2 linked regions of the Cricetulus griseus genome follow. The protein of the gene in region 2 purifies or fractionates together with the protein of the main gene of each other region. This does not show direct contact. Links are inferred from orthologs where the notes say so. Each region holds a gene or a part of one and is shown on either strand. Other genes may lie near its edges.

Region 1 (14,968 bases), on a different chromosome or scaffold from region 2:
TTTCAAGAGAATAAGGCAGAGAGTGATAGAGGAATATACCCAATGTCCTCCTCTAGCCTCCACAACTATGCACCTGACCATACACATACACTCACACACACACACAAAATAAAAACTTCATTCAGCACGTGAACGTTTCTTAATATTTGTATAACCTTGGTTGATGAGTCACTTTTAGAGTGAAAGAAATACAATCTTTCTATGAAACCACATCTGATTGTCAAGGCTCAGGGACACGGTTTAAAGTTTCTCTAAAATTACTTTTTGGAATTTTCACAAAAAACACATGCTTTACAATGAATAGTCTTTTCTTTCAAAAGACAACAGAATTTAGCATACCAATAGAACTTGAAAATTATAAAACACAGCTTACTGACTCTATATAGTGTGACATAATAAAAATAAATATTCACTCTTTCCCCCATATTCCTAGTACAGAACTCCTAAAATATCTGAGAAATCTTCATGGTGATAAGGATGTTTTTTGGTGCTGGGCAGTGGTGCCCACGCCTTTAATCCCAGCACTTGGGAGGCAGAGGCAGGCGGATCTCTGTGAGTTTGAGACCAACCTGCTCTACAAAAGCTAGTTCCATGACAGCCTCCAAAGCCACAGAGAAACCCTGGGGTTGGGGGAGGAGAATGTCTTTTGGTGACTGGAGAGACCTACTGCTTGCTCTTCCAGAGAAACAAGGCTTAATTCCCAGAACCCACAAGGTGGTTGACAACATTCTGTAATAGCTACAGGGGATCTAATAATCTCTTTTGGTCTCCTTGGGAACTAGGCATGCACATAGTACCCAGACATGCATGCAGGCAAGACACTCATACACATAGAATAAAAATAGTAAGTCTTTAAAAAATTAAAAAGAATTATGTTTTGTTCATAAATAAGAGGATTTCCCAAAACTGGAAGGAGGAAAAGTTATGACTAGACAGCTGGAACTTTTGACCCTATCCTACATCCCCAAGAACAGAAAAAACACTAGACTGAAGCTGGCCATCTATGGCCAATGATTCGATCCATTAAGCCTAAATCCGGGAATCATTACAGCAAATTATAAAACCTAGGGGATGGGGTTGCAGGAACCTCTGAACATACAGCCAAGGTGAGGAAAGGTAATGGCAACCTGGAGACCTGGAAGTTTTTCCAAAGCATGTCAAACTGAGCAGTTCTACCACTGTCTAACTCATAAACCACAAAATCTTCAACCATAGTGCCTTCACAAAGGCCCACTCGGGTCCATGCAGTTTCCTATTAAGAAGGCAAGCCCATTTTCACACAGCCTTCAGAGAATACATGGTTTCCTAAAAGGAGCTATATGAAGTATGGGAAACACTTGGGCCTTTTACTGAGGCAAAGCTGGATTCAAAACCCAACTCTACCCAACAACTGACTCTGATCTCTCCCAAGTCTCTTGAATCTGTCAAGTGGGAGTGGTGCTGCCTATGAAGAAGAGCTGTCATAAGGATTATAAAGCATAACTCACTTAAAGGTGCTAGGTACAAAATGAAAGCCTATTAAATGTTCTTATGTCAGAAGGAAAAGGCTGGCTGGAGGGGTGGGGGGTAGTTCAAGGAAAGGCCACACTACCGGTCTGGACACACAAATCATTTGCAAAATAAATGGGTCCCTTGAATTTAATGAATAAACAGTCTTTCCAATTAGAAAGGTGATCAGAAAAAGGCCATGAACTACAATCGTTAAGGACTCAGAAATTCCATTCCCAGATTCTACAATGCAATGCAATCAGTCTCAAATAAAAGCCAGCTCTGGAGTAAATCCATAAATCGCTCACCATTTTGCTAGAAATTTGTAACAAGTCAGTATCTCTTTACTTGAGATATGTAATGGGGTTCTAGGAATTAGGATTCCTCCAAGATATATCAACAATGAGTGAAAAAAGCTACCCCCAATAGCGCTGGCCCATGAACCCTACAGGAAAAAGACTTAGCACCCAATTCTGGTAATTTAGGCCCATAATTAAATATACACATGCATATCTGCTGGTTTTCTGGTACATCTATTCCATAAATTATAGCACTTGGCAAGGCCAAGTCTAACAAGAATTTCTCTCTCCTCAGTACTGGCCAAAACTTGTCCTATCTGCAGGTTTTCTATAGGGCATCCAGCAGCATAAACCTTAGATTCTGGTAACAATTTCAATGCACACAATGAAAGGTGTCCTCATATTCATAGTGGAGAGCCATTTATACAGATTAGATTAAGTTGCTTTAGCCTTGACTTAATAAATGTCCTCATTCCAAATACTCTCTCGAGACTAGTGTTTTATAATCCTAAAATTTTAACAAAACTTCTGATGATCCAAACAACAGACTTTTTAGCAGAGATTATGGGGTCCTCTAGGGCACTTTTGAAGGGGAACATAATGACCCTTGGCATATTCAGGGAAGGAAGTGATCTTGATGGTCCATGAAACTGAGGCAAGCACTTGTTTAAGGGCTTTAGCACAGGGTGCAAACAGGAAAGAAACCTTCTCTGGAGTCCTTAGTATTCGACAGCAAAGGCTTCCACACTGGAAGGCAGAACAGAGACACCAATTCACCACAGTCTCCCGGCTACCTGGCTGGCACCCTGAAGCATGGAACTCATGCCTGACCTCTGCCAACCTCCAAAAGGTAACTGAAAAATAGAGACAGGAAACTAATCTCTCCTTTAGCACATCTGACCGTGGCTGTAACATTCAAGTACTTTTTCATTTGTAAATATATATTCCAATGCTATCCTGCCTCTGTTGTAGAGGCTGGCACAGCAGTTCTGAGCTTATATAAGAAGGTAAAAATAATAATAAGTACCAGGTTTATATGAAACTTATAATTTTAAGTGACCTCTAATTCCAGACATTAAATGTTATATGTGAAAAGCAAACAGAAGTTTTTCACCTGAAGAAACCGCCATAGTTTGGAACCAACAAGTTTCATAACAACCTTTCAATTCATCAATTGAGAGGCTGTGGATGACTGTTATTACCAAGGATCTAGTTACAAGTGCCTTGAGGAGCCTTTCAAGTTTCAATAGCTCCGTAATAGTTCTTTAACTCTAAGCACCAGGTAGGATGCACCAAAAAGACTACATTCAAAGGTTTTTGTTGTTTTCGTTCTGTGTTCTGAGTGTACTGACAATGATGACTGACATCTAGTTCTTGCTACTCTCTATTTCTCCTTCAGAGGGTCCATCCTTCCATCCTGGGATTGAGAATACCATACTGTTGATTAACGAAGGTGGACAACTGAGGAGGGAAACAGACTTTTAAAGATATATACTTTTAATAGGCCAGAGAAATATTACTTCTTCACCCTGACACACCCTAGTTCATAGCTGAACCAATGTGGTGGCTTTGTTTCAATAAAACTTAATTTGAAGACTCTACCATTTGAATTTCATATGAGAAATTCTCATGTTACAATAGTATTGATAACCATTTAAAAACACGAGACTATTCTTATTTCACAGGCTACCCAAGTCAATGAGACCAGTTTGGCCTGCTTATCATGTCCCTTCTTCAGAAATCCCTTGCTTCTTGCCAAAGTAAAACATAATCCAGTTCTGAAGCTAGTACACTGAAACAAGCCACTTAGTTTTCAAGCTAAGCCCAACAGAGCCTTGCATCTTCAGGCTCTAACAACTAAACTGCATTTTTTAATGAGTAAACTTTACTCCAGATCTCTCTTTTAACCAAAGAAGTCTGCACCATAAATCATTCATAAAACACCACCAAGAAAACCTGTGCTAAGTATGGTTTAGCCTGTAACTCTTCTTTCAAGCAACTCCAAAAGAACCAGATGTGGCTGGTCATGGAACCCACACACCCAAATGAACACCAGAAAGCCTCTATAAAACTATTAATTTGAAGGGGGGAAACCATTAAAGTTACTTCACAAGCAACAAACCTATGCAGCAAACCAGGATTCTGGAATATAAAAGAAAGGAACCATGCAGTCTGCAAGGATACAGAAAGGCCAGCCTCTCACTCTTGTCAGCTCATGGTGGCTTCTGGGCACACACACTTTCCTCCTGGTCATTTCATCTTGACATTTCTTTTTATAACACAAATGCATTCACCTCAAAAATAGCGTCTGGCAGGGTTTAGTGGTGCACACTTACAATAATCCCAGTACCCAAGAGGCCAAGGTAGGAGGGTTGTGACTCTGAAGACACCCTGAACTTTCAGTTCATCCTAAACTGGCAGACCCTCCCTCAAAGCACTAAGGATGGCCAGGTAGGGGTGGCACACAAAACAAAACAAACAAAACCCAAAGGGCAAGCCGGACATGATGCTGAACACCTGTAATTCTAGCATTCTGGAGCTGAGGCAGAAAGACAGCCTTGAGTTCAAAGCCAGCCTGGATTACATAGGAGTACTAGGACAGCCAGAGCTACAAGGCCCTGGCTCAAAGTTAAATACATAAATACACAAGGACTATGGATGTGACTCAGTGGTTGCCTATCCTGGGTTTGATCCTTGGCACCACAAAAATAAATGAACGTATGCAATCAGAAAATGCTCTCAACTGGAAACATGGAGACAGTGTCCACTGCTATCACTCTTCCTGAGCTCTACAGAAACCAATTTTAGTTTTTAAAATAAGTACAATATTTGAAAAAAATTTTAGATTGTGTGTGTGTGTGTGTGTGTGTGTGTGTGTGTGTGTGTGTGTGTGTGTGTGTGTCCAATCCAGTTGGATCCAGAGGTACCCAATCCTGCTGGAGTTACAGAGTTGTGTCTGACTTGGGTGCTGGGAACTGAACAACACAATCTCTTAACTACTTAGCTCCCATAAGCACCTTTTTTATGAGCACATAAATCAAGTCACTGCAGTAATCACAAGTGTTACCAACAATTGGGAGACTGAGCCATAATTTTTCATCAAAGAGAATAATCTTTTTTTTTTCTACCTACTCCTTGCTAAAAATGTCATTTCCAATTCCTTGTTCCACACGGACAAGAGGCATTCTGTTGCCTGTACAATTAACAGTGTAGTACTTCTATGACACTGAGCCAGCATAAAATAGCCCATGGCGATAATTAAGATTGTATACTAAGTTTACATACTCTTAACAATACCACGAGTGGTCATCTAAAACACCACAATCACTAGGGATTTTTTTTTTTTAACATAAATCTACGATTCTTCCAAAAGAGAAAAAGGAGTCTGATTATCGACCAACAGTGGAATAGTTTCCGGGATCTGAGTTCCATACTAACATCATAAAAAAAAAATGCATCCCAATAATTAGGAAATAAAAACTTAATATTACTTTTATACATGAAAAGGTAAGGTCCAAAATGACACGAGGAATAATTCCTTACTTCGCTCTATAAAAATCAATATGTACTAAACTCTGGCTTTTAGAAGCCCAAAGTTTGTCTAAATTCAAAGGCCTCTTTTCAGTGACTGCAAGGTTACCCGCAAACTACTTACGGTCAAATCTGAAATACCACCCTCTTTAATTCCACAGCTGATCCACGCATCCTTCTTAAGTGGTACAAACAGCTCATGAAAAGACCATCCAACCGGTAGAATCCCATGACTCAAAACCCATCAACTACAACAAGAATTCACAGCTGCACAGTTCTGACTTTAAATACCTCTTCCCTTTAAAACCTGCATCCTCCTCCTCATCCCAACCTTTCTGATCAGCTAACTAAACCCAAGTTTAAAGGACACGTCTCATAGGCATAGAGGAAGAGGGTTCCTAGGCTGGGAGCCCAGACCTGTCAAACACATTTTTTTTTTTTAAGCACTTAGGGCAAAATGTCAGCCGAATGGTTCATGAGGCCAGTTAATTGCTTTATAACCCTTTGTATGTTCAGAGATTCGGCTAGACAAAAAGAGGGACCGGCTTTCGGTTTTGTTCCTCGGGAGAGAGGAAGGCTGGCCCGGGAGATGGTGGGGGCTGTTCTCTGCTCGGGCCCCGGTGCCAGCTGGGTGGCCCACCCCGAAGTTACTCGGATTCTGAGGCCGGGCGCGGACGCTGCCGGGAGCCTGGGAACAATGCAGGGTTCCGGGGCGCCCATGCTGGGCCTGGGGAGCCGGGCAGCGGAGGCGGTCCCCTGCCCGCGACGCTGAACAAAAGGCTCCGTGGAGCCAGCGCCCGGGCCGGGAAAAGTTTGAGAGAGGCCGGGGTCGAGGCCCGCGCGCGCCGCCCCGCACAATGGCCCAGCCGAGCGCGGGAAGGCCGAGCGCCACGCCCCCGCTCCGCAGGGCTGCGGCCCAGTACCTGGTGCGTGTCCTTCCCGCCGCCCGCGGACGCCGCTGGCCCGCCGGGGCCGCTCGTCATGTTCACGTACAGGGAGCGGGAGAGCGGGCTCCGCAGCGTCCACATCCTCCGCGCCAGCCACACGGACGCCAGGCTCAGGCACAGCCAGCCCGCCAACAGTCTCATCGGGGGGCCGCGGCCGCCAGCTCGGATCACCGCCGGGCCCAGGCCCAGGAGGAGGAGGAGGAGCCGCCGCCTCCAGCCACCGCCGTCGCCGCCCGAGCTCGAGCCATCGCCGCCAAGTCGCCCGTGCAGCCCCCTTCGGGGCCGAGGCGGGGGGTGGGAGGAGCGGCGGGCGCGCGGCCTTCTCCAGTCCCCCGCGGCCCTTCCCGGTCCGGAACGCCAACGCCTCCAGCTCCGGTTTCCACCCGGAGCACGTACAAATGCAGGAGGGGCGTTCTCCCTACCCAATGAACGGAGGCGGCCCGGCCGGGGAGGCGGGAGAAAGACTCCCTTTCCGCACGTTCCCCGTGGCGGCCGCCTGGGTGCATAATGGCGGAATATCTGGGGAGACTTCTAGAGTCTCGCCACTCCGAGGTGGGGCCTGCAGGACTTCCGGTCTTCCCTTGCCGTAGTAGTTGCCGGTAGGCCCCTCGACCACACCCTGGCGGGAATTTGACCTAATCGTTCAGATTGACTCCAGGAAAAAGGGAACTCAGACACTCCTAGACCCAGGTCCATCGGATAGACTAGCGTTGCCCTTCTTGTTAAGGTCTTGACTGTTAATAATTTCCATCTGGGGCCGGAGAGCCTGACTCCCGGTTCCAAAAGCCACCGGCCCCAGATGGGAATTCACAACTGTTAAAGCACAGAGAATCTAGAGGGAAAGAATCCCGCCGCTGCTCCCGGCCCCAGCATTCCCAAACTGGGGAGCTGCTGTCACACGTTTCCTTTCGTGAAGCCCTGGTGAGTATAAAAGCTCTGTCATTGTTGCAAGTTGATGCTGCTGGAGCACCCAACGAAACATAATGGAAAATAACACCATGTTCAACACCGAAAGCCACAAGTTAGCCCCTGTCAGATTTCCTTGGGCTAACAGAAGCTGGACCTGTCACTCTTAAAGCGAGCTCAGGTCTGGGAGGAGTTAGCCGGATGTTTCCTTGATCATTTATTGCCGGAAGAAACCTAACAATGTTTCCAAACTGAGAAGTTCCTGTGTCTCAACTTCCTGCTGCTACTCAACTAGGAGAGTGACATTATTTCCTAGGTCTGCTACTCACACCTTCCTAGGTTTGTTGAAACATGATTTTCATTAGACAGTGCCAGAGATTCTGTGCATTAATTTTAGCTTAAAACAAATTCTTCTTTTCGTTAATTTCATGATACACTGAAGACGTTTTCATTTATGAAATAGTGATCCACAGATGAGAAAGAAACCATTTCTTACCCACAAACATGTTAGGTGCTAAAGAAGTTCTACTTGTCACCTTTCCTTAATAAGGGTATTTCATTACCAAATGTGCATAGACTACGACAACAACAACAAAAATTCAAGGATAAATATGAGGTATACTTTGTTGTAATTTCTCATTCTAGTTTATTCCCAGACATCTCCCTGTTAAGTGTAAAACCATAAGATTATGCTTTCCTAAATTGAGCTCAACCTTCTAGGAGTCCCGAGTTCAGCATACTTAAAAGGAACTACAGTAGTGAGTGCAAATAATTGTATTGCACCACCTCTTTGAATTCCAATAAAGTTCTTCTATACCAAAACAGTGTTCATCTTTTTTAGGTAAAGGGGAGATGCAAGCAACAGGAGTGTATAAACAAGGCATACTTCATTTCTAAAGACAAATGATACAGAAAACCATGCCCTAACAGATTGAGCTTGCCTAACCACAGCTCTAAGACCTCAAAATGTGTCATGTAAAGAAGAAGCAAGGATACATCTAATAAGATCTGAAGAATTTAGGGTCATATGACAGCTAAGAGAAACCTAGCTAAGAGAAATTTTGCTTTATGTCTGAGCAGCTCACCTAGAAAAAAATGAATTACCCTCACATTCAAACTATTCTATAGTCACAGACTGCTCATGTAGGTGTTATTTACATTTAGGAAGCACAGGGAGAAAGCAAAGCACAGCATAATTTTAAAAATTTGGTAGCAAACCTTCTCATAGAAGGTGGTATCCCAGCTTCTGGTTGTTTTATCCATCCAAGAAGCCTTGCCGTCTCTCTTCTCAGCCTCTCGAATTACAAATCATGAGGAAGGAAAGCTGCAAGAGTAAATATTCTAAGCAGAAGTTCAGATTGCCTTCTGGGACGGCCCCTTACTAGGATGTCACTGCTGTACATTAAAACCTCAGATATTCATAATGGGAATAGGAAGAGACATGGTTAATACAAAAGCAAAAAACAAATTATGATCCAATATCCTTTCCAATGTGGCTTTGAAATGTAATCAGTGATATTCAAAAGTCACATACCTGCTATCTTGTGCTTGCTCACCTCAAGTGTCTAGCCTGGGTTTCTGTTCTATCACCAGAAACTGTGGCTGGATTACGTTCCAAATATCCAGGCAAGGGGCTTGTTTCTTAAACAATAGTCCCTTCCCCCAACTCTTCCCTTACCTCCCCGACCCTTTCCCCTTCTCCCTCTAGCCCTCCTCTCCTTTTTATCAGTTCTTGTTATATAGGCTAAGCTGGCCTTGAACTCACAATCATCCTACTTATGCCTCACAAACAAAGGGATCACAAGCAGGTGCTGTGATCCTAGCTTCACATTTGCTTTTCAATTTCAAAGTACAATGTGAAGAAATACCACAGAGAGAAAGAGACTTGGATTTACATAGAACCACTGTAGCCTCTATGAGGAGCTAATGATGTAAAAAGACCCTTGTAATTGAATGTTTTGTTTTGTCAGATTTTTGTGTGTGCAGATATATGTGTGTGCATGTGGAAGCCTGAAGTTGACTTCAGGTGACCTCTGCTATCACTCTCCACCTTTTTTTTTTTTTTTTTTTTTTTTTTTTTTTGAGACAAGGTCTGTCATTGAACCCAGCACACATGAATTAGATATATCAGGCTGTCCAGCCAGCTCCAGCGATCTGCCTAATTCATCCCCCATCCTCGCCCCCCCCCACACACACAGAGTAGGTTTATATACACACATTCACTACCATACTATCAATGTTGGGAATCTGAATTCAGGTCCTCATCTTGTGCAGAAGTCACTTTACCTACAAAGGCATCTCTCCAGCCCATTGACAAATGTTTTTTAAGCGGTTGGTTTTTTTTGTTTTGTTTTGTTTTGTTTTGTTTTTTTGAGACAGGGTTTCTCTGTATTGCTTTGGAGGTTGTCCTGGAACTCGATCTGTAGACCAGCCTGGCTTCAAACTCACAGAGATCTGCCTGCCTCTGCCTCACGAGTTCTGGGATTAAAGGCATACGCCACCAATGCCCGGCTGTTTTTAAGCTTCTTAATAATATTTGGTACACCTTCAGGGAAAGGTATGTTTGGCCCAAAATCTTGTTGTTAAGACAGGGTTTCTCTATGTAACCCTGGCTGTCCTGGAACTCACACTGTAGACCAGGCTGGCCTCAAACTCTGAAATCTACCTGTATCTGCTTCCCAAGTGCTAGAATTAGAGTCATGTGCTACCACCACCCGGCTTATGGTTCAGATCTTAAATATCTCCCTAAAGTCCACGTGCTAAAGTGTCCTTCACCAGCCTGTGGTGCTACTGGGAGGCAGTAGAACCTTTTAGAAATGGGTCCTGGAAGGAAGTTAGGCCAGTAGTATATGCTTGTATGTGAGTGTTTGTATGTGTGTGTGCATGTCTCTCCTTTTCTTCTCTTTCTCTCTTCCTCCCTCCCTCACTCACTCTTCCCTTTCTCTCTCTCCCTTTTTCTCCCCCTCTCCAACCTCTCTCCCTGGCTCTCATTAGGTTAGCAATTTTGCTCTCCATACTCCCTATCATTGTGCACTTACCACAAAACAACAAGCTAAGTGTCCATGGATTAAAATAAACCTTTTCCTCTATTAACTTCCTTAATTCTCTTGTCACAAGAATGGGACAATGACTAACATGGTATTCAACCTTTTTTATTAGAAGTAGTAAGTGTGAAAGGTTATTTTTTTCTAGAAACTTCAGTCATTTGCAGTGGAATCATTCTGATCTCAGATAAATTCAAACTTAAGGTGAGACTAAAAACAGGGTTTTTTTGTGTTTCTGTTTTGTTTTAAACAAAACTGTCTGGGCTCAGTGGTTAAAAGCATTTGCAGCTCTTCCAGAAGACATGGGTTTGATTCCCAGCACCCACATGGTGGCTCACAAACATCTGTAACTCCATTTCCAGGGAATCTGACACCATCTTCTGACCTCAGCCAGCACCAGGCAGATACAGAGTACTACACATGCATGCAGACAAAACACCTATACACACAAAATTTAATTTAAAACAAAATAGCAGTCTAAAGACCTGAAGACCTATGGTAGCAAACACAAATCATGCAGTATACTTCACTGGAGACCCTCCCAGGACTGCTCACCTGGGAGTTGTACCACCTTAGCAACCGCACCCGAGACACCGCGTGGTATGGAAGTCTAGCTTGTGTAATCTAAGGCAAATCACGACCTCTCCATGTCTGTCTCTTCCAAATAAAAGGCTTATTGTAGTACTTCAACCCCTAGCAAGCACTCACTCTATTCTCTTTAACTTGGATGAACCAACCTTTTCTCAGCAGCCCTTTCTTTACACCCAGCTGAACAATTTTATAATTTTTGATAACTAGATAATTTGAAATCACTATCAACTATAAAACAACACCCTCATAATTATGCTTATCCTAACATGATTCATGTCTCTCCAGAAAATATTTTCTTAAAACCCAGAATGATCATTTCTTTTAACTACAGTGTCTGGAATGTTCTCGAAGTTGTGATAGTGTTTTCAATGCTTGTCCTCCGCTTGATGATACTATTAATGGTAGGGGTTGGTGAAGATAGGTTTAAATGAGTTCACCCGACCCAAGATAAATGATAAACAGGTATTAGGATGGCACTTACCCAAATAATAGTAAATAACCACCTTGGTCTTCCTGCTCCAGAAGATGCAGTCTCTGCCCTTCCAATGCTCTCACCACAACCCAAAAGAGCAAGCCAGCCCCTCCTCTTCCTTATAAGGGGTTATATCTGCACACCTGAAGCCACACCCATAGGATGTGGCCATGACTGCAAGTTCACTGGTAAAGCAAGATGCCACTACAGGTTGGTTGGATAATGATGACTATGAAACCTCTGAGATGGGACTTGGCTAGCTCCTCTTAAGGTTAGAGCCCAGCCCTAATTTATGCCTAGCTCTCTGCTTCCTAGTCAGCCACAATGTGAACAACCAATCATTGCCTCATGCTTATACCACATGCCTTTTCTGCCATGATGGACTGAAACCATGACTCAAAATAAACCTTCCCTCCCTTACACAGTTTCTAGTAACGAACTATAGAAATGATCCCTGATGTATTTTGTCAGAACAATGAGAAAAATGTTGTAATGTCTAATCTCATGAGATTTTATCCTCAGGGAATGAAGATGTGAGCAGAGGATAAGGAATACAAAATTCAAAACCAGGAAATGTTCAAACAAAATCACAAATTCAGACATCAAAATCAAGTTATCCACTTCTCAGAGATGCTTGTCTCTTTAGTAAGAAAGTCTCCTGCCTTAGGCCGGGCAGTGGTGGTGCGCGCCTTTAATCCCAGCACTGGGGAGGCAGAGGTGGGCAGATCTCTGTGAGTTTGAGGCCAGCCTGGTCTACTGAGCAAGTTCCAAACAGCCTCCAAAGCTACAGAGAAAACCTGTCTCAGAAAAAAAAAAGCAGGGGAAGAAAGGAAAGGAGAAAGGAAGAAAGGAAAGAAGGAAGGAAAGGAGGGAGGGAGGGAGGGAAAGTAGGAAAGAAAAAGAAAAAGAAAGTCTCCTGCCTCTCTGATTTATATAACTTTTCCCACCTGGCTCATCTTTTTGCCTCTATAGCAGGCATGATGCTTCACCTATTTGAAGAACATTCTGAACTGACATAGCCCCTTCCCCAAAATGACAATCTCATACCTATCTCAGTTTATGCCAGCAATGTTAGTAGAAGGACAAGAAAAAAAGGAAACTTGCACATGCTCAGTAATATTTGCTGAGCACACCAGCATGCCAGGCCCTGCACTAGAAAGCTAGAACTCGAAACAAGCATAGCAATTCACATCCCTCAAGCTTTATGTATAGTGTGGAGGTGGACCCAACTGGCAACCATGAAATGAGTGGGTAATTACAAAATGCTGAGTACTAAAATTGAATTGTATATTGTTGGAAAGCCTTAGGAACAAAAACACAGTCTAACTGGGAGTAGGAAGCAGGGCTCTTCAGGACAAGCCACGCTAAGGAAGTGTGGTTTTGTGCCCTTCCTTTTGACATCCTCTCAGCTACCAAGTTGCCCAAGTTCCTGCTGTGCTTTAGGTGCACCCTGAATGACTACAGAAACAGAAATGGAGGGGGAGTTCTCAGAACCTTTTAGAATGTGAGCAATCATAGGCATAGAATTTTGAAGAAAACTATAAAGGTTAGCACCATGTCCTACAGTCAATCAGCAATCAAATGATGACTTTTATTGAAGCATCTGAAATCAACCCCCCTATACTTGGACAAGGCCTTTCAGCAGTCCCAGGGATATGCTGCCATCACTTTCAACTTAGCCACCTACAAGAAGAGTCCACTAAGATATTTATCAACAATACTCAGGTAAATTTCAGGTCATGCCAAATGGATCAGTAAAATGCTGTGTTCTACTATATGTATATTGTGCTACCCAAGTTACCCTTATAAAGATGGCTTCTCCATGATATGAAGGGCTTCAATTTGATGGGTCACAAATAAATTCATTCTGATGGTGATACAACTTGTGTCAAATGAGAACCATAGAAACTTCAGGAGATTTACTATTTCAATTTAACTTCCATATCACTCAGTTTTCCACATATTCTTACACCGTATTGTGTAAGACTACTTCTGGGACTTTTTCCTTTGGCAATGCTGGAGGTTAAATCCAGAGCCTTGCACATACTAAGAAAGTACTCTACCACTGAGCTATATCCCCAGCTGTTGGTTTTTGAATAGTGTCTGACTGTGTAGTTTAAGATGATCTTCCTGCCTCTACCTCCCAAGTACTGGGATTACAAGCTTGTACCACAATGCCTAGCTCCTTCTGGGATTCAAAAAAAAGCTGAACATAAAATGGTCTAAGCTTGAAAGGATACATGTATCTTATACATATTGATATACATATAATATATATGTATTTACATATATCATATATAAGTAAATATGGACCTTTCAAGTGGGTTTATGAGTCAGAAGTCTGATAAAAAGAGGAAGCTTGTGTTTTCATTGTTTTTGGGACATTTTCAAAGGTCAAAAGATCTTTCATCTTGTTTTAAATGCACTTCCAAAGCAACTCTTATGCTTAGCCTCTTAATTGCTCTCCCCTGTACATATGTGGGTTTGGTCTTCTGAATGATTGCTCACTCTCCACCCAATTCACAATATAACTTTATGACACCTCATTTTGATACATTTATTTTGGAACTATAACACCTCACTTTGTGAGTATAAAACAATCAAACTTCTGTTTCACTTGAGACAGAAAAATGTTGCCCTAACCCATGAGAATGCTTTTAAAATATTTTAAAAATCTTAAGTATTTTCTAGTAAAGAAAATTTTCATGTACAAAAACAAAACCCACATTAAAAAAAGCAAGATGACTCATGCTTGTAACCTCATCACTAGGGAGACACAGACACTGGTCTCAGGTTAATTTGAGACCACATCCTTAAGGGGAAAAAAGGTAGACAATGCCTGTGTCTGAATAACAACACCCAAGGTTGTCCCCCTGACCTCCACAAACATGCACACAATCTACAACCACAAAATAGATGGCCATCCTTGGCTACATAGTAAGTTTTAGACGAGCGACATGAGAGCCTAACTCAAAACACACACAAACACACACACACACACACACACACACACACACACACACACACACACACACACACACGGTGTAGAGGGGGTGGATATCAGAGTATCAGAAAACTAAACCCAACACAAACAAGGAATGGTGGTGCATGCCTGAAACTCCTGCACTTTCAAGGCTGTGGCAGAAGATTGTGAGTCAAAGGCTATATGGGCTATAAAATGAGTTCTAGGCCAAGACTAAATAACAAGACATTGAGCTAAATAAAAAGACATCGTCTCTTTTAAAAAATTAAACTCAGGCCAGTGAGTGTTGGCACATGTCTTAAATTTCAGCTCTCAGGAGGCAGAGGCAGGCACATCTCTGAGTTTGAGGCTCACCTTTGCAGCACATACACTAAAATTGGAATGAGAGAAAGGATTAGCAAACTCCCTGCACAAGATGACATGAAAACCTCAGGAGTATTCCATATATTAACTTTAAAGAGAAGGTACATGTACATTTTCAAAAAGGAGAATAAGGAGGAAGAGAATTTTTATTATATTATTATTATTATTTCAGGCTGGTTAAATGGCTCAGCAGATAAGGCCAGTGCTTGTCACCAATCCTGGCCTTCTGAGTTTATTCCCCAGGACCCACATGGTAGAAGGAGAGAACCAACTTCTGCAAGTTGTCTTCTGACCTCCACATGTGCACAGACTTAAGACATAAACAGAATAAAGTTTTTTAATAT
Region 2 (14,891 bases):
TATGCAGACAGAACACTGCATATATGTAATAAAAATAAGTAAATAAAAATTTAAAAAATAACCAAATTTTTAATAAAGGAAAGAAAAGTATCTTTACAACTGAGGCCTTTTATTTTATTTTCATCTCTCAGGCCATGACTTCACAGGGAATGGACGCCTGTTTGCTCTTATAACGCACTCTGTGGGCTGGCACTTCAGTGGGACCCAGGGACCTTTCTGTTTGGTTTGTTTTCCTTTCCCTGTTTCAGAAAGTCATTTCAGATCATACTCAGTAGACACATTCATTCTCCCAGGATCTGGCCCCCAACTTGCTTATTCACAAGCAAGGGACACTAGGTAGCACTAGGGACAGTGTCGACTCTGCTGGCTTTGCCATGGTGACATTTATGGGGTGTTCCTCTTTGACCCATACATGTTTGATGTCTGCAGTGTAACTTTTCTTGTAAAGTCTTGCACTTGTCATTTAGAAGCTCAGTGAGCGCTGTTAGGGCCTCCCTTGTTTCTCACTGGGAGATATATATTTTTGAAGATTTTATTTATTTATTATGCATACAGTCTTCTGCCTGCTGGCCAGCAGAGGGCACCAGATCTCATTCAAGATGGCTGTGAGCCTCCATGAGGTTGCCAGGAATTGAACTCAGGACCTTTGGAAGAAGAATCAGTGCTCTTAACCGCTGGGCCGTTTCTCCAGCCCCTCACTGGGAGATATTTTGTCTGAAAAGAAAACAAAAGGGAAGGACAGGACAGCTCCTGGGTATGGTGGAGGAGAAAGCTGATTGTAGATAAAAGGGAGAGCAGAGCCAGAGGCAGGGACATCTGGGAGAGTCCAGTGTGGACACGACTGTCTGAGCTGGGCCGTGTGAGGAAGAATGGGGAAGGGTGAGGGGAGACAGGAACCAGGAGCAGCAGCAGCAGGCCAGAGGTCCAAAATAGGGCTGGTAACCAAAATGTCTGGATTATACAGGGAAAAGCCTCTGAGGGAAGGAAGGGTGGAAAGTTCAGGGTAGGAGATGGGGTATGGGAGCTGTATCCTGGGAGAATGTGGCAGCCAGGTCTGTTTTGATAAGTTAAATAGACACCTCAGCCATCTGTCCTGGGTCTGAAACTTAACATTGTCAAATTACTGGAAGATGGCAACTCTGGCCAAAAGCACTTAACTTTCTTACTTTTTTACATTTTATTCACGTGTTTTTGTGGGGGGGGGGGGAGAGGAAACCCATGCCTCAGCACACATGTGGAGGCCAGAGGAAAACTTACAAGGAATCTGTTGTCTCCTTCGACCATGTGGGTACCAGGGATGGAACTCAGGCCATCAGGTTTGGGGACTCAGCTTTATCTGACGAGTCTGCTTTACCGTCCTATTTTCAAGTATTCTCCTGCAGAAGACTTTAAAGGTTTTCAAGGCCAGAAAGAGAGAGGCGGGGCATAGTGACCTTTGATCCCAGCACTGAAGTCACTGGGGCAGGTGGATTGAGAGTTCAAGCCAGCCTGGGATACACAGGGAGATAAATAATTAGACAATGAAGACAGACGCACCCACCGCCTGGAAATCACATCACACAACTGGCTCACAATATGTTTTCTCATCACCACTCCAACTTCCTGACTAGAGAGCAGGCATTATAGTCCCTAATCTTGCCAACCTGATGAGGCTAGTTTTATTGGGTTTACTTACAGGAATGTGGGTGAAAGGTTACTTCCAGGTGCAGAAATGACTGACAGCTGCATCGCTAAAATCCTTCTTCGGCATGGGGACAGGTCAACAACGTTGGAAGCCTGGAACACACAGCACGGCATTCCGTCCTTCCGAGGCAGTTGAGTCGGGTGAGCTTCTTTCTGGCAGGTCAGCTGATCACTTTTAGGCAGATCTCTTATTTAAGAGCCCTCGCTACTTATATATGCTTGTGGAAGGAGGGAACTGAAGTCCTCTCCCTGGCCCCCACCAGACAGGGTTTCTTTGTGTCACCCTGGATGTCCTAGCACTCACTCTGTAGACCAGGCTGGCCTTGAACTCACAGAGATCCCCCTGCCTCTGCCTCCCTTGTGCTGGGATTAAAGGTGTGGGAAAGCAGTAAGTTCTTTTAACCATTGACTCCTTTGACTCTCCAGCACCCTTGTTGAAGTTTTAAATGCAATTTTTTGTTAGGTGATCATGTGTGTGAGCTTGCACCTGCACACGCAAGTGCACATGCATGAGTGTGTGTTTTGGAATTGAACCCAGGGCCCGAGGAATGCTAGCCAATCGCTCTGTCACTGAGCTACATCCTCAGCACAAACTCTCGCAAATCAATTAAAATTGTTTCTGAGCTGGGCGTTGGTGGCTCACACCTTTAATGCCAGCACTTGGGAGGCAGAGGCAGGCAGATGTCTGAGTTCCAGGCCAGCCTGGTCTACAAAGCTAAACAGAAACCCTGTCTCGAAAAACAAAAACAAAAAAATCCTTTCGGAGGATACAGGGAAAGGCCTACTTCAAATGGGATTTCTCCAGATAAACTCTTCGAACACTAGATGTACACACCAGGCAAGAAATTAATTTTGCAGTGGATCACAGCAGGTTGTCCACAAATGCAATTCAATCTACTTGTAGTTCTTGGTCTTCAGGACAATCCTCTTTCTCTTTTGATAACATGCACAAGCTCCAGGCTTTATCTTCTCACCGCTTCCCTTTTTGGGCACCATAGAGTTGCTAAGAACCCAGGGAAATGCTAACTTAACACTTATGAATTCATCTCAAAGGATATAGATAAGGGGCAGAGGGCGGGGCTTATAGGGAGTGGTGGGGATACTCTATGCCCTCTCCAGGCACAGCAGTTTCCAGGAACCTTTCTGTGTTTGGCTTTAGGAAGCTTCTGGAACTCTGTCCTTTTGTATTTTTTGTATTGGAGATGTCCTCCAATACAAACACAATTAAATCAGAACCCTGAGGATTTGATTGGATGAAAAGAGTGAGACCTGAAGTTATCAGCTGGGTGGGGACATCCAGCAAAGCCTGTCTGTGCACTTTTCTCATCCCAGATACCAGGCAGGGCCCCTCTGGTTGGTGAGGCCAGAGATTTTTTTTTTTTTTGACACCAGATTTTGATTTTGATTTTGTTTTGTTTTTAATATTTTATAAATAGTTCTTACTTATTTTCTATGAAATGTACTGGGAACTCAAAAAGTCTGCTAAACCCACCAACATGAGTTTCCACAGAGAATTCTTTTATGATCAGCTCCTAGATAGAAGGCAGGAAAGATCAGAATTTCTGTGGCTTCAGGTGAGAGGGCAAGGTAGGAGGCTCAGTAGCCCAAGGTCACCCTCAGCAAATTCAAGATCAACCTGGGCTGCCTTGATTTACTCTTTTTGCTTGTTTTTCAAGACAGGGTTTCTGTGTAGGTTTGGAGGTTGTCCTGGAACTCTTTTTGAAGACCAGGCTGGCCTTGAACTCACAGAGATCTGCCTGCCTCTGCCTCCCGAGTGCTGGGCATGAGCCACCACCACCCGGCCAAACTGTCTATGATCTACCCTAAGAGAGATTCTAGTTTCTTCTGCCTTCCTTAGGAAGGGATAGGTTGGGTGGGTATGGGGCATTAGACTGCAATCCCTCCCACCACTCAGGATGCTGAAACAGAGTCACAAGTTCCAAGCCAGGCTGGGTTATAGGCATCATCAGAAATATGGATTTAAAACAAATCTTCTGAGTTGGGCAGTGGTGGCGCATGCCTTTAATCCCAGCACTCAGGAGGCAGAGGCAGGTGAATCTCTGTGAGTTTGAGGCTAGTCGGGTCTACAGAGTGAGTTCCAGGCTGTTATACAGGGAAAGCCTGTCTCAAAAAACCAAAATCAAAACATTGATAATTATGATATGCTTTGAATTGAGGAGAAAATGAGTGACGTGATAGACTGTCACAATTTTTCCACCTTACAACTCCACAGTGATCTGTGGTTGTCCTATAGAAACGCCACCAAACAGCACTTAATCCATGCTTATAGGACCAGGGCTTGAAGTAGGACTTTGTGCATAGTGGGAGACTCCTCTACCACTTAGCTCACACCTCTGCTCTTTTTTACTTTGAGACAGGGTCCAGTAAATTGCCCAGCTAGCCTCAAACTTGGGACCCTTCTGCCCAAGGCTCCTTAATTCCTGTGATTACAGGCATGTGTAACCATGTCGGGCTGTCCTATTTGTTTCAGCCTAATTTCAAAGATGTTTAAGTGCTCACCTAGGTTCTCCGTGCTAAGCTGGGGAGACCACTGGAGATCGTAGAAGAAAAGAGTCTCACTTCCAGATCAGCTAAATTACAGGCCCATACATTATGCCCAGAAATACTTGTTCCGTTACCCAATCCTCTGAGATTTGGTGTGGGTTTATTGTTGTGTGACAGGGCCTACAAGTCTGAAGTACCCCAGGATAGCCTTGAACTTGCTATATAGACAAAGATAACCTTGAACTTGTGATAGCGGTGCCCTTCCATCTCTCTCTGCAGAGGTGGAATCACCAGCTTGTGTGGTGCTATGGATGGAACTCAGGCTTCATGCATGTAAGTCAAGCTCAGCCCTAGTCCATCCTGCTCAGTCCTGCTCCCCTTGCCATGAGGCAAAGTCTCTCATGCTAGCCTGGGCTACATAGTATGACCACCGTTCTTCCTTCTCTTCCCTAGTGGGCACTGGGGATAGGATCCAAGGCTTTGTGCATGAACAGTCTATCAACAAGCTGCACCCCAAATATACCTTCCAAGCTGTGGTCCTGAAGACCTAGCACATGAAGTGATTGAGTAGGGAGGTCGCCAACTATATAAGGAGATACCTATCAGAGGCCAGCACCGGGGGCGCCATAGGCCCCAAACCCCAGAAAATGTGGACTATGGACTTTATGTGGGGCATCAGTTTGGCCCTACGGCCATCTCCCAGAAATTTGTTGGGTTTCTGGGGTGCGGTTAATGAGACAGGACACTGCTCTTTGTAGAGGTGGAGAGCCGGCCACTCGGATCCCTTTTTTTTTTTTTTTTTTTGGTTTTTTCGAGACAGGGTTTCTCTGTGGCTTTGGAGGCTGTCCTGGAACTAGCTCTTGTAGACCAGGCTGGTCTCGAACTCACAGAGAAACGCCTGCCTTTGCCTCTGGAGTGCTGGGATTAAAGGCGTGCGCCACCACCGCCCCGCCCGGATCCTAATCAGAGAGCAAGGAGGAGGAATGGTGCCTTTCAAAGGGAAACTTGGATCTGTAACTCCAGCAGTACTATGATGGGGTACTGCCCCCTCCCCAGAGGCCGAGTGCACCCCAGCCCGCCCGAGTGTCACTCCCTACAAAAGAAAATGATCAAGCTTCCGGGAAGTCTCTCTTCCTAGCTAGAAGCCCGACCCTAACCTCAGGAGTCCCTTTGGTTCTGTCAGTAGTCACATCCCTGCCCTAAGGCACCTCTATCTCTGTCTCTGTCTCTGTCTCTGTGTCTGTCTGTCTGTCTCTCTCTACATAACAGGTTTTCTCTACGTAACAAAGCTCTAGCTGTCCTGGAATTTACTATGCAGACAAGGCTGGTCTCGAACTCGCTTGCCTCTGCCTCCTCTCCGGAGTGCTGGGATTAAAGGGTGAGATGCCCGTTAAGAGTGGATGTTCTGGTCACCCAGTCCTAATTTAGCAACTTTGGGCAGCTCTTAGCAGGCTCTTTGCTCCGGGCAAAGGCCCTTAAGCTCTCGGTGTGAGGCCGCGGGCTGCTTCAGGCTCCGGGCGGCGGGGGAGCAGTGCTGGGGGCCGAGCCGCGGTTCCCTTTGCAGCCGGCCACCCTTCCCCCTCCCCGCGGGCTTTTGCACACGACGCGCGGCGGGCGGCTTCACACGGGGCGAGGGCCGGGGATAAAGCGGGCGGGCGCGGGGCGCAGAGGCGAGACCGAGCAGAGGAAGGTGAGAGCGCGCCGAGCTGACATCGTCTGGAGCGCAACTTCGAGGACGCACGGCGAGAGGCGGCATGCCGTCCTTGGACAAGCGGAACCTGTTGGAGAGCAGGAGCGGGGCGCGGTAAATTCAAGCCCCGAGGGGCGGGAATCTGGGCGACATCACAGGCACCTCCTCTTTGGCCATTCTGGCTGTGGTTGGTCCGGCCGGGGGCTTGAACCTGGGATCCCGCCAGAGGGATGGGGTGAGGCAAGGGAAAGAGGAAATTGGCTGTGGCCTCGTAGCCCCGGGGATCACCTGTCTCAGCTGGCCAAGCACACAGATCCTGAACGCTGCCTGCGGGTGCGCTCCAGTGGGACACAGTCGGGTGCCTGTTACCCCGCCTTCACTCCAGCACTTTGATCCCAAGCAGCCCTGAGGTGGGGAGGCCCTGTGCCCTCGGGTGCGCTGCGCTACGTTGCATGCTGCTGTCTTGAGCCAGAACTCTGCTCTTTGTCTGCGCTCGACTGGACGGCCTGCCCTTTGGCTAGTTCGTAAAGACTCTCCAGGCCTGGGAAGGGGTGGAGGAGGGGGGGACGGCTTAGAACAAGGTCCCAAGACTCACTTCCCCAGCATCCCCTGTAACATTGGCTTCTTACCTTGATCACCTGCCAGGCTCGGTGCTTAACTTGCTTTGGAAACACCGGACCAGCAATACTCCCAGAGACTGGCTCTGTGCTCCCACCTCCAAACGCTGAGCGTTTTCTCTCCTTCCCCACCTCCAGGTCATTCTTAGGATCACATTGGAAGAGTGAGGCTGCTTGGACCCCTCCTGTGGACCTGCCCGCTGTTGAGCTGGCTGTCCAGAGCAACCATTATTGCCATGCCCAGAAGGATTCCTGTAGTCACCCTGACTCCAAGAGGCAGAAGGCCCGGCGCAAACTCTATCTGGCCTCTGCCATCTGCCTGATGTTCATGATCGGAGAAATCATCGGTAAGGCCTTGTGTGTGAATTAAATAAAGTTGGTTCTTGCATGGGCTGAATGCTCTCATTAATGCTACTGACACTAATCCCTGTTTTATTGATTAGTTTTTCTTTCTTTCTTTTTCTATTTTTCTTTTCTTTTTTTTTCTTTTTCTTTTTTTTTTTTTTTTTTTTTTTTTTTTTTTTTTTTTTTTTTTGGTTTTTCGAGACAGGGTTTCTCTGTGTAGCTTTGGAGCCTATCCTGGCACTCACGCTCTAGAGACCAGGCTGGCCTCGAACTCACAGAGATCTGCCTGCCTCTGCCTCCCAAGTGCTGGGATTAAAGGCGTGCACCACCAAAGGCCGGCCTCTTTCTTTTTTTTAAGGCAGGGTCTCACTAGCCTTGGCTAGCCTGGAACTCTGCTTCCAGAGTGATGGAATTAAAGGTGTGTGACACCACATCCATTAATTTTTATTTGTTTATTGGCTTTTCGAGACTGGGTTTCTCTGCATATCTATGGCTGTTCTAACTCCTGCTGTAGATCTGCCTGCCTCTGCTTCCCAAGTGCTGGGATTAAAGGCGTGTACCACCATCACTGGGCTAATTTTTTTTAAATCAATCAGTTGGTTACAGCTCTGCAGTTAAGAGCACTGGCTGCTCCTCCGGAGGACTTAGGCTTGATTCCCAGCACCTACATGGTGGCTCACAATCATCTGTCACTCTGGTCCCAGGGAATCGGCTGTCCTCTTGTGGCTTGTGTGGGTACCAGGCATATGATGCACACCCATATGTGTAGGTAAAACACACTTAAATTAATAATGAAAATAATATAAGAGTACTTACTGAGCTCCTACTTTGCTTCCCTAGCTCTAATTGAACTTGATCTTCTTTACTTTTTTTTACAAACTCCTTTTTGAATTACAAACAAGATTGAATTACATGACAATCCCAGTTCCCTTTTCCCTCCCTTTCTCCCCTACAACCCCTCCAACTAAAACCCTACCTATCGCATATCCTTTAGAATTTTTTGTTGCTCCCCCCTGCCCAGAAAGGGTTTCTTTGTATTGCTTTGTAGGCTCTCCTGAAACTTGCTCTGGAGACCAGGGTGGCCTTGAACTCACAGAGATCCACCTGCCTCTGCCTCCCGAGTGCTAGGATTAAAGGCGTGCACCACTACTGCCTGAACTTGATTTTTGCACTCACCCTGTAAGAAAATGTCAACTCTTTAGCTCAAATTGAACAACTGATTGGTGCAGAGACCTTGAGCCCACTGTGTCTTCCCTTGTGGTCTCCCTGCTGTGCAGAGTTGGGGGGCGGTTAACTCTTTCAGGGGGAACTTCACCCTGGCTGTCACTTTTGCAGGTGGGTACCTGGCACACAGCCTGGCCATTATGACTGACGCAGCTCACCTGCTCACCGATTTTGCCAGCATGCTCATTAGCCTCTTCTCCCTGTGGATGTCTTCCCGACCGGCCACCAAGACCATGAATTTCGGCTGGCAACGAGCTGGTAAGGATCCTTGTGGCCACAGATGGGGTAATCAAGAGATAGATAGGGTTTTAGCATTTCTAGTAGTCTAGGCTGGCCTTGAATGTACTAAGAAGTAACCAAGGCTGCCCTTGAAATTCCTGATCCTCTTGTCTCCACCTCCCAAGCCCTGGAATTTCAGGTATGCCACACACAGCTAGTTTGGGGGGATTTTTGTTTTTGTTTTTGTTTTGTTATTTATTTATTTTACAGGATCTTGATACATAGTCCAGACTGGCCTCTAACTCACTGTAATAGCCCAGTCTGGCTTCAAACTCAGTAACTCTCCTGTCACAGCCTCCCAAGGACTGAAATTAAGGCCAGGAGTTAGGCCAAAAAGGCAGCTTCTATGGAAAAGGGAGTGTCTGCCTTGGCCTCCATCCTCTGGGAACTCCCAATCTGATGGGACAGACTTGGTGCCAGTTATCTGGGAGCTACTTGTTAATGGAGAAGCAAAGTTCATGTTAGAAAGTAGGGGCTCAGAACAAAGGACAACAGCACTAACATTGCCTGTCACTATGGGTCAGCTATGGGTAGGGAAAGGTCAGTAAACAGTCCCTTAAGCTGTTAGTTCCCTTCCTGGTGGCACTGCCACTTTCCCGTAGGGAGAGATGGCTCAGCAGTTAGCACGTGTCTTCTTGGCTGTAACTAGCTCCAGCTCTGGGGAATTTGGGCCCTCTTCTGTTACCTTCATTAATTAGGTAGTGACCTTACCTTTATTTGGGCAGGAAAATTAGGCATATATATGCCCTTCATCCCAACACAAGGGTGGTGGAGGCAGGTGAATCTCGAGTTCAAGGCTAGCCTGATTTACATAGTGAGACCACAAGAAACATAAAAAGGAGAGTATTAAACTCAGGCAGTCCTCTTGTCTTAGCAGCCCACATTCTAGGATTAGAGATGTCCACCACCATGCTGGTTAGAATATACACACATACATACATACATACCAGTTTCTTTCCACATACAGCAAACAGGATTGAGCTGGATGGTTCTAGATAGGAGTTCTCATATATGAGTTGGCAGGAAGAGGCATGTCTTCAGCAAACACCAAAAACATACTGACTTTTCTGCAGGGAGGGGCTAACATGGAGGGAGTAGGCCTTCCTACCCTTAGGGCCCAGGCTAATGTTCTTTTGGTTGGGCTCTTCTTATCTAGAGATCCTTGGAGCCTTGGTGTCTGTACTGTCCATCTGGGTGGTGACTGGGGTGCTGGTGTACCTGGCTGTGCAGCGCTTGATTTCTGGAGACTATGAGATCAAAGGGGATACCATGTTGATCACGTCGGGCTGCGCGGTGGCTGTAAACATCATGTAAGTATGGCCCGGTTCCCTATAAGTGACCCCCACTCCCAGGGAACGGAGTTCATGCCTCCCTTCCCGCACTGAATCTCACTCACGGCCTGAACTCTGGCACATGGTATACATTGGTCCTGCTTTAAATGGGACATGGGAGGTTATAGACCCCCACCCCACCCCACCATCTCAACTCTCCTCCCCTCTCATAGTACATGTCCAGGAGAATAACTTCTGAGGCTATCCACAGCAAAGGGATGCATCTGGTTCATGCTGGACCAAAGGCCAAGTCAGGTTGACATGGCTGAAACTGGTCCCAGTAAAAGAGAGGGGGCTGGTTAGAAAGAACATATGTTTGGGCCTTCTGTCTCCTCCGCTGGCTTGTCTCAGGTTCCCCTCCTGTGACATGATGGGATGAACCAGATGACTTCCTCATTGCCCCCTTGCTCTGAAATTCAACTCTGGGATTTTGTGCCCAGTCAGCCTTCCATTGTGGGCAGAACTCTTTGCCCTATGGCTATAAGCCAAGGCTGCAGACTAGATTCTTGATCCTAAGAGGATCGCTGTGTGCTGGGGGCTTCAGAATTTTACCTTCAGGGAGGCCAGCCCTAATGGGTAGACTGTGCCTAGCTGACATGAAACCTTTGCTACCTCATTGAACTCTGTCTGTTTCCATAGAATGGGGTTGACCCTTCATCAATCTGGACATGGGCACAGCCATGGACAGGGGCAAAGCCATGGACATGAACACAGCCATGGTGACCAAAGCCATGAAGACAGCCAACAGCAACAGGAGAACCCCAGTGTCCGAGCAGCCTTCATCCATGTGATTGGGGACCTTCTGCAGAGTTTGGGTGTCCTGGTAGCTGCCTACATTATATATTTCAAGGTCAGATCTGGGTACAAAGAGGGAGGTGGGGCAGTACCCAGGGCTTCTCTGCACAGGGCTTTGTCCCCATGCTAGGCCCCCTCCAGCTTAGGATGAGAGGGTAGAAAGAGGGAAGGGATGTTTATTTAATACTTTCCAAGTGTTGTTGGCACCTTTTACTTCTACAAGAAGCCTGAAAGGTAGGTGATTGTGCTATATGCCATTCAGAAAGGTTCTGTTACTTGTACAGTTTCACAGAAGCCGGATTTAAACCCATGACTGTGTTGCTGAAGCCGGGCATTGCCTATCACATAGAGATAATGAGTTGTAAAATGAGCCATGAGTGTGGCTGAGGCTGTGTGATGAATGGATTACTTGGTCCCATCGAACCTCAGTTTCCCCATCTATAAAATGGGAATGGTGAATCAAATGCCCACAGTCCTTTTTAGTTTCGCCTGTGTCTCATCTTTTTAGGAAGAGATGTGTCCTGAGGTCATCTGGATGGAGAATAGAGTAGAAAATTGGAAAAGACAGGCCAGAGCAAGTCCCGTGCTCACCCTGAAAAGAGAGACCCTTCCTGATACTGTACTGGTAGGGAAAAATATAGACCCAAGTGGATGCTGGTGAGCCCCATGTCTGTCTGTTTTTCCTGCAGCCTGAGTATAAGTACGTGGATCCCATCTGCACTTTCCTCTTCTCCGTGCTGGTCCTGGGGACAACGTTAACCATCCTAAGAGATGTGACCTTGGTTCTCATGGAAGGTAACTAGGCCTTCGGGCTTATGGATGGGGGTGGGGTGTGTGCAGATGTCTGTGTTCATTTGTTGTGTGGAAACCCGAGGTTGATAGTGGAGTGTCTCCTTCACCCTAAGTTTTCCTTTTTGGGGGGTGGTTTCGAGTCAGGGTTTCTCTGTGTAACAGCTCTGACTGTCTTGGAACTAGCCCTGTAGACCAGGCTGTCTCTAACTCTCCCCAGTGCTGGGATTAAAGGGGTGCATAAATAAATGTATGCCTGCATGGCAGAATAGGGCCTCATTATAGACAGTTGTGAGCCACCACATGGTTGTGGGAATTGAACTCAGGACCTTTGAAGAGCAGTCAGTGCTCTTAACCTCTGAGTCATCTCTCCAGGTCCACCCCCACCCCCACCCCACCTCACCCTGCCCGCCCCCCAAGGTTTGTCTGTGTAGCCCTGGCTGTCCTGAAACTCAGCTCTGTAGACCAGGCTGGCCTTGAACTCAGAGAGATTCCACCTGCCTCTGCTGTCATTAAAGACATGTGCTACCACTACCCAGCTAGCCCTTCTTGTTTTTTGTAATAAGTAAGATCTCTTACTGAACTTAGAGCTGTAGGCTGGCCAGAAAGCTACCTGAGTCTCCTTGTCCTCCACCTCCCACCCAACTCTAGGGTTACTGGCGAGGACAAGTGGCCTTTTTTTTTGTTTTTGTTTTTCTCATGGTTGCTGGAAACCTGAACTCATTTAACCCACTGAGCCCTCTCCCCAGATCTGGGACTCTCTAATTAGACTAAGCTGGCTGGCCAACCAGTCCCAAGGCATCTGCCCATCTCTGCCTTTCCTGTCTGGGATTACAAGTGTGCACTAACGTGTGTGCATGGGTACATGCGTGTTTAGTTCTGGGGTATCTAACAGGCCTCTAGCACCGTTAGCAGCTGAAGTATCTCCCCAGCCTGACTTTGGGGTTCTCTCTCAGCCTGAGGCTCACCAAGTCTAATCTACCTTGGTGCAGATGTTTGGAGAACCACTGCATTAGGGTGCGAGCCCGTGTCTGGGACCTTTAACGGACATAGGTCCTCAGAGCTCTGAGCTGATCAGATAAAGGTGTGCCAATTCCTAGACAGGTTCCAGCCAGCGCTTGCCCTCCCCCTAGGCCCAGGGCTGCCTCCTCCCTTGGAGTGTGTGTTGTCCCTGGCTGGTCACATGGCCTTGGTAACACCTGGAGCCCCACCCCTGCCCTCATCATCAGGTGACTTTTCTCAGGAAGATAAGGATTTGGTTCTAGTGTTGGGTTGTTTTTGTTTTTTGTTTGGGGGAGGGACCAGGTTTGAAATAGGTCTCTTTATGTAGCCCTAGCTAGCCTGGAACTCAAGACCAGGTTGGCCTCAAAGTCTTGCCTCCCAAGTGGTGGGTTAAAAGCATGGACCACCACATCTAAGAACTAGGAACTTTTTTTAAATTTATTTTTGAGACAGGGTCTCACTATGAAGACCAGACTGACACCAAATTCACAGAGAACTGCCTGCCTCTACCTTCCTAGTGCTAGGATCAAAGGGTGCTGGGAACTGAACCTTGATCCTTTGGAAGAGCAGCAAGTGCTCCCAAACTCGGAGCCGTCTCTCTAATCCCCTGTTGCTTTTTGTTGTTGCTTTTTTAAAATTTATTTATTAGGTATACAGTGTTCTGCCTGCATGTATTGCCTGCAGGCCATAAGAGGGCACCTGATCTCATTATAGATGGTTGAGAGTCACCATGTGGTTTCTGGGAATTGAGCTCAGGACCTCTGGAAGAGCAGCCAGTGCTCTTAACCTCTGAGCCATCTCTCTAATCCCTTGTTGTTTGAGATGGCCTTGGCCTCCTCAGTGTTGGAAGTGCAGGTGTGCACCATCGTAGTTGCTGAGTGAACCCACACCAGCTCAGTTCTTTCCCACAGGTCTCAGGGCCCATACCCTCCCTGTTCCTGCCTCAGCTGGTGAATGATGCCTGGAACTACCACTCTAATCCACAGGCCTAGCTCACACTTTAGGCCTTGGCTTAGGCCCAAGCCATGGCTTTCTAAAGGGTCAGGGACAGTTGGAAGAGAGTGGGGTACTAGCCTGGGCTTGGCAGGAATATTTAATTTCAAAGCTATCTTCAACAAGATGACTGGCCTTGGAGGGTCTGGAGGGGCCATACCTGTAATCCCAGCACCCAGGAAGTTGAAGAAGCAGAATTTTGGGTCGGAAACCAGCTCAGGGTACATAGCAAGACTTTGTCTAAAAAACAAAAACATTGACCATATAGCTGTGAACAAAAGAGACTCATGCTCTGTTTCCATTCTAGACTCAATAGATAAATTCGTGAGATCATTCCACTTGTTGTAACAGGACAGAGTGAGGGATGGGAGCACCATATGGAACCTGCTGGCCAAGGAGGCCTTCTGAGTAGATGGCCCTGGAGGATAGAGTGGGATGGGAGGGTAGTGTCCTTTACCATTGTGCTTTCTGTCCCCAGGGACTCCCAAAGGTGTGGACTTCACAGCCGTGAAGAATCTCCTGCTGTCCGTGGATGGGGTGGAAGCCTTGCACAGCCTGCATATCTGGGCACTGACAGTGGCCCAGCCGGTGCTGTCTGTCCACATAGCTATCGGTGAGTTAAGGTGAAGAGAGAAGCAGCCAGGGGCCTGGGGCCATTCCTGAGGGTTTGCCAAGCTCCGGCCAAGTGCTGAGCACTGAAATGCCCTTTGATCCTTCCAACTGCGTTTATGGAGGAAGATAACTGAGGCCTTGTTTGGGGTGGTCAGATCACTTGTACAGGAGCAAGGGGGTGAGTGGATGAGGGAGACAGATTCAAGCTGTAAGGCCAGTGCTTTTCTTGCTCTGGGCTCGCCTGGTACAGGATAGACCCTGGCACTTCTTGTCTCCTAGTCAATTCCCCAGGGGTAGACATGGAGCCAATCATCCCTTGTTTCTCTTCCCAGCTCCGCATGCTGACCCCCAGGCTGTGCTGAAGGTGGCTAGGGACCGCCTCCAGGGGAAGTTCAATTTCCACATCATGACCATCCAAATTGAGAACTACACTGAGGAGATGAAGGACTGCCAGGAGTGCCAGGGCCCCTCAGACTGACCATCTGGCCAGACACCATCGGAAACATCAACGGTTTAGCCAGGACTCTAGGTTCCAGGCACAGCCTGGTCCATGCCAGTGGGACTCTGTGGCCTCCTGTGAGCCCACAGGACCAGGATGAAGCCCATGAGGCCATACTTTTCCAGGGATGTTTGGGCTGGATCTTCAACTGTCATCCTCACATCACAGCTGGGATGGCACTAAGGCATAGAAGGAGGACCTGGGGTCGCCTGTACTAATCCAGGGTCTTTGTTACACATTACTGGGAAGTTGGCTCCCTTTTGCATAGTCAGTTTCTTTGATAAAAGAATTTTGAACTGGACTCAGAGGGATCCTTCAAAGACCATGTTATTACAATTTGGGAGAAAAACACACACACACACACACACACACACACACACACACACAGGCCAGGTAAGCTGTAACTCTCAGCAGCTGCAGGGAAGAGGAGGGAGAAAGAAGGCCACACCTTTGAGTTAGGGTCGTCAATGGAGTTGTGTAAACAGCTGAGTGGCTGCAATGGGGGAGGGGCTAGAGAGACAGTGAGG

What was found.
Region 1: the proteins of Slc30a2 (region 2) and Mettl9 purify together in Homo sapiens (co-immunoprecipitation; 3 studies listed by BioGRID and IntAct, with this or other methods). This does not show direct contact. The link is inferred for Cricetulus griseus from reciprocal best matches to the Homo sapiens genes SLC30A2 and METTL9.

What each region holds. Positions count from the first base shown.
Region 1 is NC_048596.1:79,618,936-79,633,903, forward strand, and holds the start of Mettl9 (methyltransferase-like protein 9), read right to left. Parts: upstream 6,547-14,968; 5' UTR 6,407-6,546; coding exon 6,242-6,406; intron 1-6,241. UniProt on the Homo sapiens protein: Protein-histidine N-methyltransferase that specifically catalyzes 1-methylhistidine (pros-methylhistidine) methylation of target proteins.
Region 2 is NC_048595.1:18,946,935-18,961,825, reverse strand, and holds Slc30a2 (zinc transporter 2), read left to right. Parts: upstream 1-5,942; coding exon 5,943-5,992; intron 5,993-6,633; coding exon 6,634-6,842; intron 6,843-8,175; coding exon 8,176-8,322; intron 8,323-9,499; coding exon 9,500-9,653; intron 9,654-10,313; coding exon 10,314-10,524; intron 10,525-11,158; coding exon 11,159-11,264; intron 11,265-13,731; coding exon 13,732-13,866; intron 13,867-14,197; coding exon 14,198-14,343; downstream 14,344-14,891. Other genes in the region: E3 ubiquitin-protein ligase TRIM63, read left to right, coding at 4,642-4,739.